Sus scrofa: one gene and its partners. The protein of the gene in region 1 purifies or fractionates together with the protein of each later gene. This does not show direct contact. Links are inferred from orthologs where the notes say so. Each region holds a gene or a part of one and is shown in the gene's direction. Other genes may lie near its edges.

What was found.
Region 2: the proteins of SOS1 (region 1) and PTPN11 purify together in Homo sapiens (affinity purification with western blotting; 4 studies listed by BioGRID and IntAct, with this or other methods). This does not show direct contact. The link is inferred for Sus scrofa from reciprocal best matches to the Homo sapiens genes SOS1 and PTPN11.
Region 3: the proteins of SOS1 (region 1) and FRS2 purify together in Homo sapiens (affinity purification with western blotting; 5 studies listed by BioGRID). This does not show direct contact. The link is inferred for Sus scrofa from reciprocal best matches to the Homo sapiens genes SOS1 and FRS2.

The regions. Positions count from the first base shown.
Region 1 is NC_010445.4:101,359,431-101,363,081, forward strand, and holds part of SOS1 (son of sevenless homolog 1), read left to right. Parts: intron 1-421; coding exon 422-540; intron 541-1,701; coding exon 1,702-2,193; 3' UTR 2,194-3,651.
Region 2 is NC_010456.5:39,229,511-39,233,166, reverse strand, and holds part of PTPN11 (tyrosine-protein phosphatase non-receptor type 11), read left to right. Parts: intron 1-78; coding exon 79-175; intron 176-1,170; coding exon 1,171-1,250; intron 1,251-1,371; coding exon 1,372-1,530; intron 1,531-3,395; coding exon 3,396-3,527; intron 3,528-3,656. UniProt on the Homo sapiens protein: Acts downstream of various receptor and cytoplasmic protein tyrosine kinases to participate in the signal transduction from the cell surface to the nucleus. Positively regulates MAPK signal transduction pathway. Dephosphorylates GAB1, ARHGAP35 and EGFR.
Region 3 is NC_010447.5:33,840,307-33,843,962, forward strand, and holds part of FRS2 (fibroblast growth factor receptor substrate 2), read left to right. Parts: intron 1-1,886; coding exon 1,887-1,978; intron 1,979-3,504; coding exon 3,505-3,656. UniProt on the Homo sapiens protein: Adapter protein that links activated FGR and NGF receptors to downstream signaling pathways.

The DNA.
Region 1 (3,651 bases):
GGAAATTCTGTACTAATAAAGTCAAAGGGAAAAAAAGGAGCCCATCGTAAATGCTTAAAAAATTGCCATTCTGAAGGTGTTTAATAGTTTGCTGTCTCTCTCAAAAGTCCAAGACTGGGACCCAAATAAAAAATTCCAGTAATAGATTATTAACAATGGGAACATTGTTTTGTTTAAGAAGCAGAGTAACAGAGTATTTTAGGCAGCTTTTTTTTCTTGAAAATTCTGCTAAGGATTTCTGCATGCTTTCATAGCATTTTGCTTTAATAAAGGAAATAATATTTGGGTGTTGATGTATTGAACTGCTTTTGATACTTCTGTACATTTCTTTTAATAAATATAAGCAGTTTCCAAGTCTTTTCAGGATTAATAGATGAAATAAAATTCCTGTGAACTTTTCAAAAAATTTAACATCCTACAGGATCTGCTTCAGTATCATCTATAAGCTTAACCAAGAGCACTGATGAAGTGCCTGTCCCCCCTCCTGTTCCTCCACGAAGACGACCAGAATCTGCCCCAGCGGAATCTTCGCCATCTAAGGTAAAGTAGAAAATCTTGTTATCTGGAAACCAGAATCATTATAGTTACATTATAATCAATTGCTTGTGTCTAGTTTTAACTGGATTTGGTTAACAGTATTTGGGCTTTAACAGAGTTTAAACAAGGATTAAATACAGATTTACAGGCAGTAATTTTTATTTCCTTTCTTCTGAAAGCAGTTTTGGGGATGATTTTCAAAACCCTTGTAAATCTAAATTATGGGTACTGTCGCAAAAAAGCAAATTTAACATATAATGTAAGAGTAATGTAGTCTCAGGCAGTTCTTTAAAAACATACAAAAGACAAAGAAGGAGAGAGAGAGGAAAGAGGTCTGAAGCTTTATATGAAACACATTCTGAATGAAACTGTATCTTAGTGCTAAACATTACCTGAGTCCTTAATAGTGAATCTGACATGCTTTTAAATAGGATTTTCATGAAGATTTTGGGTTGGAAGAGACCTTAAAGGCTCATAATAGCTATTTTTTTCTACCTGTTTGAATTTCTGTGTTTGCCACCTGTTAACATGATGCAGTGGTCTCAAAGTGTCCAGAGGTCAGAGCACCTGGGCGAGTCAAGATATTCTTTGCAGAATATCATGAAATGTTAATGTAGTAAGTTTAAAATTGTAAAAATTGGTAGGTAACTTAGGTTAAATCAGAAGTGATCATACATTACTGAGTGATAGGTAAGCAGTAGCAAACTACAAAATTTTACAAAAAATAAGATAAAAACTTTGAGGGGAAAAATTTTCTTTTAATGAATGAATTGCCACAACCTCCAATTTAAAACCTATGGTGGAGTTCCTGTCCTGGCGCGAGGAAATGAATCCAACAAGGAACCATGAGGTTGCGGGTTTGATCCCTGACCTTGCTCAATGGGTTAAGGATCCGGCCTTGCTATGGCTGGTGTAGGCCGGCAGCCACAGCTCCGATTAGACCCCTAGCCTGGGAACCTCCATATGCCACGGGTGTGGCCCTAAAAAGACTAAATTAATTAATTAATTTAATGAAATAAATAATACCTATGGCAGAACTCCCTGATCCACACCTAGAGTTCTTCCAATAGCATGTTTGAAAACCCCAGCTTAATTATTAATATATTCATGGTGCTAAATAAATTTTTAATGCATGTCTTTTTTTTTTTTTTCCATTTATGTTAGATTATGTCTAAGCATTTGGACAGCCCCCCAGCAATTCCTCCTAGGCAACCCACATCAAAAGCCTATTCACCACGATATTCCATATCAGACCGGACCTCTATATCAGACCCTCCTGAAAGCCCTCCCTTACTACCACCACGAGAACCTGTGAGGACACCTGATGTTTTCTCAAGCTCACCACTACATCTCCAACCTCCCCCTTTGGGCAAAAAAAGTGACCATAGTAATGCCTTCTTCCCAAATAGCCCTTCCCCCTTTACACCACCTCCTCCTCAAACACCTTCTCCTCACGGCACCAGAAGGCATCTACCATCACCACCATTGACACAGGAAGTAGACCTTCATTCCATTGCTGGGCCACCTGTTCCTCCACGACAAAGCACTTCTCAACATATCCCCAAACTCCCTCCAAAAACTTACAAAAGGGAGCACACACACCCATCCATGCACAGAGATGGACCACCACTGTTGGAGAACGCCCATTCTTCCTGAACTCCTCTGTACCGGGATGTCCATTTTCTTCACCCCAAATCCATTGCTGGCAATGGATGCACTGAATGTGCCAGCACTGAGGAGTTAAAAATGAGAGCTCCAAACACTAATGACTCTACTTCAAGATGCAGTATAAGACAATGAACTTAACCGAGACAAAATTATAAAATGAAAATGGTGTTTGTTTAGAATATGGAAAGACTGATCTAGAGGAAGTGGACAACTGATTGCACCTGAAAATCAAGTAAAGGGACTTTTTCCAGCCAGTAGGCAGGAGTCCTCTTTTTGTGAAGTGATCTTTCTCATTAAAGGGATGGAAAACACAGTCTAGTGTCCAACAGGCCCACATGATGACAGTTTTTGTAATTCAAAATATTATGCACTTTTTAAAAAATCTTAAACAGGGATCTTCAAACCCTCCTTTGTTTTCCTTTGCTTTTACTCGTCCTACTTTAGAATATTTTCTTAAAAATCATTCAGAGGACTGTGAGGAAAGGCTGTGGTACCTGACTTGTTGGAATCAAGGCCCAGCACTGTACTACAGTCCTGTTTACAGATAATTACAGTGAAATGAATGGGTACCGAGGCTTCACCAAAGAGGTACTTTTTTTTTTTTTAAGAGTAATTATACCAATTTTAAGAGCATTTCCCTACTCACCTTCCCTACACAAACAAAACGTGGTGGTGTTGCCTTCAAACAAGAGAAGTTTTATGTCATTAATACTGACAGAAGAACTTTTTAAAAAATGTAACTGTCGAGTATATGATTTACACTTAGGAGACTGTTAATCTGTGCTAGATTGTCATTTTCCCCCCTTCTCCCACAAAGTTTACTGGTAATCCATGTCATGGCTTGTAGCTGTCCCTCTAACCACTCTGGAAATGCAGTCACCCAGTGTGAAAGGAGCACTTGCTGGGCATCATTGACACCGTTCATGTTTTACTAATAGTTGAGTGATGAGCATATCGAGAATTACCTTGCATTGCCTAAATCATGTGTATATAGTGAATGTTATATAATATACCTGGCAGGTCTGTTTTAATTTAATTGAATAAAGATACAAATACTTTGTTTGGCTGGCATATATTAAATTATTATCTGGATAAAATGGTTGATTCTTATTTCTTTCAGTTCAAACACACAAACACTAAGCATAAAAGCACGTATTGTGGTACGCCTTGGTTTCTAGTTCTAGATGTATGTATTCATCTTAAAGAATGACATTTGGCATGTAGGAAAATATTTGGTTAGAATAGGATGGATATCTTTTAAGCAGAGCTTTGTAAGGTTTTTAATTTCCTAGGCAACATGTATACAGTTTGTTAAAGTTTTATATTAAACATTCTACCTTGCTTGAGGTCTTTGCTCTATCAGAACTGCTCATAATAGAACATCTATCTACATCATTAATAACATAATACAGATTATTCATTAAGCCTATGTACTGATCTTCTGAG
Region 2 (3,656 bases), on another chromosome or scaffold:
ATGCTGGGTCAGTGTTTTGTTTTGTTTGTGTTTTGAAGTTTTTCATGCATGACGATATCTACTTTTGTTTCTCTCTAGACACTACAACAACAGGAGTGCAAGCTTCTCTATAGCCGAAAAGAGGGTCAGAGGCAAGAAAATAAAAACAAAAATAGATATAAAAACATCCTGCCCTGTAAGTATCAATGTATTTCTCAATATCAGTCACTTTTGGAGATTTTTTTTTTTTTCAGGGCTGTACCCATGGCATATGTAGGTTCCCAGGCTAGGGGTCAAATTAGAGCTATAGCCGCTGGCCTATGCCACAGTCACAGCAATGCCAGATCCTTAACCCACTGAGCGAGGCCAGGGATCAAACCTATGTCCTGAAGGATATTAGTCAGATTTGTTTCCACTGTGCTGTGATGGGAATTCCACTTTTGGAGATTTTGATTCCCCAAGGCTTGCCATCTCCCAGGGTCTCACCACGATCCTCAGGGGTTCCAGGCTTGTGTCCTTGCTCTGCAGACGTTGGCGCATGTACTTTTGTACAGAATTTAGTCAGTAAATAATTGTCATCAGAATCTTGTCATTTAGATACTGTATTTAATGCTACTTCATTAAAAGAACTTTTTATTATGGAAAGTTTAAAATATATTCAAAAGTAGAGTAGTATAAAGAACCCACGGGTACCCATCACCCAGCTCCAACAATTGTCAACTCATGCCCAGTCTTGATTCATCTATATTCTGTTACACTTTGCTTCTCTCCCTGAATTATATTGAAGCATATCTCAGATATCATTGTTATTTATCTGTACTTTACTCTTCTTTTTTTTTTTTAAAATCCTTTTTGTTTTGAAATGATTTTTAGATTCACACACGAAGTTACAAAGATATGTAGGGGGTTTCCCTTGTACCCTTTACCCAGCTTCTCCCAGTGAAAATGTCTTATCTATCCATAGTGCATTATCAACACCAGGGAATTGACATTACTACTTTAGTCTCCTTAAAGAAAACATTATGAGGCCTCATGTTCAGATTATTGTCATATTCACTTAGAGTTTAGTTTTTGATGCTGTTTAATCATTAAATGAACACAACTTGGACGAAGTTGAGGTTGAACTGATTTGAACTGACCTGCCCTGAGAGGTCTGGGTACTTTTGTGACTATGCTCTCGTTTTCTTCCAGTTGATCATACCAGAGTCGTCTTACATGATGGTGATCCCAATGAGCCTGTTTCAGATTACATCAATGCAAATATCATCATGGTAAACTTGGCTTTTCACAGTGTTTCTGACTTTACCTTGCTAGCCGATTTTTGTATTATAAATCCTTCCTTCCTAAAAGCAGCTTTCAGATGTTTGAAGGATTTTCTTCCTAAATTTCTAGCCTGAATTTGAAACCAAGTGCAACAACTCAAAGCCCAAAAAGAGTTACATTGCCACCCAAGGCTGCCTGCAAAACACGGTGAATGACTTTTGGAGGATGGTATTTCAGGAGAACTCCCGAGTAATTGTCATGACAACAAAAGAAGTGGAGAGAGGAAAGGTATACTACATACTCTGCTTTTTTAAAGTATTGGACATGTCAGGTTGATCATGTTAAGAACTGAATAAACACATTTCACTTTCTCTTACCCTCTGGAAAAAAGGGATCAGGAGAAATTTGGTTATGACATACTTTGGTATAGTTTTCTTTATATTTCTTCTGCTTGGAAGTCATGGAACTTCTTGGGTCTGTGGACTTACAATTTTCTTCAAATGTGAGTAATGTTTACTATGTCTTCAAATATGTACCCTCAACCCACTTTTTCTGGATACCAATTACACGTATATTAGGCTCTTTAAAGTTGTCCTATTGCTCATTGAGACCTGGTTCCCCTCTGTGTTTTGTTTTGGATAAGTTTCTTTTGCTATACATCTTTCAGTTAATCTTTTCTTCTGCAGGGTATAATCTGCTGTTTGTCTTCTCCAGTGAAATTTTCATGCAGACCTTCTGATAATCTCCTCCCTTGGTATTCCCCCGGTGCACAGAAGGAAAACCAGACTCTGGACTGCCTTTGATTCCTGGGCTTTAATTTAAAGCTAAAGTATTAGGGCTTGCAGTTTAGAATTTGTTTGCCAAGGTTTATATCAAGAGTTTGGGAAGCTGGGAGGGGAGCACAGTACTTTGCAGAAGTGTAGTGTCAGCTACGGTGTTAGGAGTTGTGGTTTAATTTGTGTTCTCTTGAGCGACCAGCAGTCCTCAGAATGGATTGACCACTAACCGCATTGATACACTTAATAGTAAGTGTTTATTTGGGATAATAAAAATTGAATCAAATCTGTCAAAGAGGTATTTGGATCTGCAGCATACTAGAGGGAAAGACAAATTCAGAATAATAAATAAAAGACCGCATAAACTGTGCCAAGCAAAAAACTAGCACCATCCATTAATTCTTCTGTCGAACTTTCCTTCTACCATTTTTTTCCCCACTTCATCATCGTGGGGAATGTCTGTAGCTGCTGTCTTATTTCTTGTGTAATAACAGTGAATTTCTCTGTTTTCCCGATGTACAAGGTAGCTTTCTCTTGCTGATGTTTGTGTCTTGGTGGTTGTGGAAAGTGAGTGGTGTGGGTGACCGCTCCCAGGAAAAAACAAGACACAAAAGCGTTCTCTGCCCAGGATACATCACCAAATACATGCAGACTCATCTCTCAGTGAGCGAAATCTCTTCCTTTTTGGCAGCAAGCATGATTCTCTTGGTGCCATGTTTTCCAATCTGCCTGCTCTGAAGCCAGCAGCTATTGCGGGCTTGGCGTTCCCAGGCACCCAGTTATGTGAAGGTGGCATGTGTAGCAGGTATCAAATGGATCTGGATATAGAAAAAGCAGCTGGTTCAGACCCCATATCAGCTGCCTTTCTGTGCTGGAGTTATTCACACTTAGGTTAGATAAGGCACGGAGGCCTCCCACACTGGTGCGGAAAGGAACCAGACAGTCTGGCTCACTGGGCAGCCCATCCACCTCCAGAGTCCCTGCTCGCCTTCCCTGCAGAGTGACTGGCAGATTCCGGAATTCAGAGCTCAGTGGTTGCTAGACAAGCACCCTTGCATGGGGTAGTTCCCCTCTCTCTGCCTCAGGTTCTTTGGGAGAGAAATAAATGAGCACCGGCTCTCCTCTGACTTGTGGCTTAGGGCAGACAGCTCTGCAGTGGTGGCTTTCTCTTCCCACTTCTCCTTGGTTCACCATGCACCGACTTTTCTTATTTGAACTCTTCTTTCCTTTTCTTTGAAAATCCAACAGTTAGATACCAGATAGGCTCTCTTCCAAGTTAGCGGTCGTTAAGACTCAAACATTGGTGGTTCTCTGCTGCTTTAGGCTTTCATACCAGAGTTCACAGAGATTAACTGTCTTTTCTCTGATCCCTTCCAGAGTAAATGTGTCAAATACTGGCCTGATGAGTATGCGCTAAAAGAATACGGGGTCATGCGCGTTAGGAACGTCAAAGAAAGTGCCGCTCATGACTATACATTAAGAGAACTTAAACTTTCAAAGGTCGGACAAGTAAGTATATTGTCGTACTTTAGAGACTTTGTAACTGCTAATCCAGTGTGGTGCAGTTACTTCTGTTGGCAAACATTCAGGCATTCCTTCACTTATTGATTGACGTCCATTTGTTGGGTACCTTTTATG
Region 3 (3,656 bases), on another chromosome or scaffold:
TTTAAGTAGTATATAAGTAATCTGTTTCTGCTAATCCCATACTCCTGATTTATCCCACCTCCACCCTCTTCCCCTTTGGTAACCATAAGTTTGTCTTCAATGTCTGTGAATCTGTTTCTGTTGTGTAAATAAGTTCATTTGTGTCATGTTTTAGATTCCACATGTAGGTGATATCATGTGGTATTTATCTTTCACTGTCTCACATACTTCACTTAGTATGATCTCTAAGTCCATCCATGTTGCTATGAATGGCATTATTTCATTCCTTTTTATGCCCGAGTAATACTCCATCACACACACACACACACACACACACACACACTCTTTTTTTTTTTTGGTCTTTTTACCATTTCTTGGGCCGCTCCCGCGGCATATGGAGGTTCCCAGGCTAGGGGTCTAATCAGAGCTGTAGCTGCCAGCCCATGCCAGAGCCACAGCTACGCAGAATCCAAGCCGAGTCTGCGACCTACACCACAGCTCATGGCAATGCCAGATCGTTAACCCACTGAGCAAGAGCAGGGATCGAACCCGCAACCTCATGGTTCCTAGTCGGATCCGTTAACCACTGAGCCACAACAGAAACTCCACCCCCACATACTCTTTATCCCTTCATCTGTTGATGGACATTTTGATTGCTTCCATGTCTTGACTATTATCAATAGTGCTGCTATGAACATAGGGGTTCATGTATCTTTTTGAATTGGTTTTATCCAGATATATGCTCAGGAGTGGGGAATGCTGGATCATATAGCAACTCTATTTTTAGTTTTTTGAGGAACCTCCATACTGTTTTCCATGATGTGCTGCGCCAAAATTTACATTGCCACCAACAGTGTAGGAAGGTTCCCTTTTTCCCACACCGTGTCTAGCATTTATTATTTGCGGACTTTTTTTTTTTTTTTTTTTTTGCCACACCAGATTGTGAGAGGCATCATGTCATGCTTTGCATTTTTTCTTGAAAGTAGTGAAGAACCATGAAGAATTTTAAGCAAGTCTTAATCAGATTTATGTTTTAATGTTTAGTAGGTTCTTATGCTTCCTTTCGTCTTCCTTTTTTTCTTCAAATGCTATCACGTCCATTCTGACTTTTTCCCTTGTTTATAAGTGAAGTTTTGAATTTTTCCTTTGTTCACCTGGAGAAATCTTGAACACTTAATGTCACTATAACCTCTTATTTCTAGCCTTCTGTGGGAAAAGATTAGATACACTCTCAGTTTTCCCAGTATTCTCTGTGTTATTGCTTGAATTTTGGGTTGCCTTTCTCTCTAAATGAACTATTGCAGATTTATTTTTGTTTTTTATTAACCAATAAACTCTTGTCTGGTGGGCTACTTAAAGAATACTATAGTGAGTAGTATAAATCAAATACTTACTTACCTAGCCATCCTTTCGGAAATTTATGAAAAGACAGACACAAAATTCCTGATAAGCTATAAAGGGTTAATTCCATGAATGACTTTAATAGTCTTATGTGTGAGGCCTTAAATTGGTTTATTTGAAACAATTTTTGTTTCTTTTTGGCTGCCCCCATGGCATTAGGAAGTTCCCTGGCCAGGGATTGAACCCATGCCACAGCATGACAATGCTGGGTCTTTAACCCAGGGAACCACAGAGGAACTCCTTAGGTAATTCTAAAATAGCCAGACCTTTGCAAATTAAATTGAGATTTCTGTGAAGTCTACCTCACAAAATTATTGTTGTTGTCACTGAGCAAAATTTACCAGCCAATTGGGTGAAATCTAGCTCTAGCCATTTACCTTGTTAGGCTTAACTTTCCTCATCAAAATACTGCAGGGCTTGTATTGGATGATTTCTAAAGTTTTTTTCTGTCTTATGATTTTTTTATCCTACATCTAATAATTTTTTGCAAATTGTCTTTCATGTAGTGCTCACATGGTCTTCTGAAGAAGCCATGGGTAGCTGTTGTAGCTGTCCAGATAAAGACACTGTCCCAGATAACCACCGGAACAAGTTTAAGGTCAGTAAAATTCATTGAGTTGTATTTCTCACTACCTGACAGAATGCTCTTTTACCTCACTTAACATACTTATTACTTCCTTTACGTTTATCTTCAGATCCTTTCATTTTCCTTTTTGTCCATTCTGCCTTTTCTTGTTTTAACACATGATGACAACATTTTCTTACTGGCAGTTGTGAAATCCTCTTTTCTTTTCTTTTTCTTCAGTCTTCCATATCCAATTAGCTATATAATTCTGATAATATTGTCTTTTTTAAAAATCTTTTAACTATTTTTTTAAACTTGGAAGACATTTACATTTATTTTTACTTTCCCGCATCACCGGTCATGGGTATGAGTGGTAAATCTTATATCTCCATCAGAAAAACATAGCATTATTGAGTCCTATGAAGAACTTAATCTCTGGTTACGGTTAAGAGGTCCTGGATTTGGTCCATCAGCCCTCTTTGAAATCATCAATTGATAGTATTGTCCGTAGAATGCCATTTTATGGGTCCTGTCATTCACTCCCAGTCATTGTTTAATGGCGGGGAAATTTCTTAACTGCTTCCAGTCACCTCTGTGATCCATCTGCAGGTGACATCAAATTAATCTTCTTCTTTCATCATTCTAAAACTTTGGTGCTATTGTATTATCACCAAAACTAAATGTTCCATTCCTTACGTATCCAGAGACATTAGTATCTCTCATATTCTCACTTCACTCTGCTCTAAATCATAGTCTCTTGTTCACAATAACCCGGTGTAAGTCACAGTCCTTCATAGCTTTGTGACTTTGGGCAGGTTACATTATCACTAAGTCTTTGTTCATTAGCATGTAACAGAGAAAATTGTATTACCTGTAGTATAGAACTGGTGCGAGTGAAAAAAAAAAAAAGGGATTGGTGTGAGTATTAAATGACAAAAATACAAGGAAAGCACTTTCCCCACTAGGTTCTCCCTAAGCGTTATCTATTCTTCATAGTCTCTGGCCATTTTCTGAAACTCAGCTGTGTAAGGCCTTCCCTTATATGACTCAGTGCCAGTCCTGTCTTGGTCTCTCTGAACACACCTTGTTGTCTCTGCTGTAGCACTGCATCTTCAGAATGTGCCTCTCAACTCCTGACCCATCAACTCTTCCTCTTAATTTTATTTCCTATCTAACTTTAATTATACTCAAAGCCCAGCTAAAGTTCCTTCTCTACGTATGTGAAGTGTTGTTCTCCAACAACCCTCAGCCATAGTTCATCCATTGTACAGCCTCTCTTGCACTCATGTGTAAATTAATCACGTACAGTTTTGTGGTGTTGACTTTGTGTTTGTCTATCTTATCTCCTCAGAGGGAATGTGAGTTTTGTGGATATGAACCGGTTTACACCGCCACACAGTCCATGCCCTGTACACATGGTAGTTGATGATTTAACTAATAGAGGAGCAAATAACTGAACCAATCAGCCACAGTACATTTTCCTGGCCAATTAGTGAAATATTTATAGGACTGTCAAGTGGGAGCATATAGGTTAGCACTAATTAAACCTTCTTTTTTAGGTCATTAATGTGGATGATGATGGAAATGAGTTAGGTTCTGGCATAATGGAACTTACAGACACAGAACTGATTTTATACACACGCAAGCGTGACTCGGTAAAATGGCACTACCTCTGCCTCCGACGCTATGGCTATGATTCAAATCTCTTTTC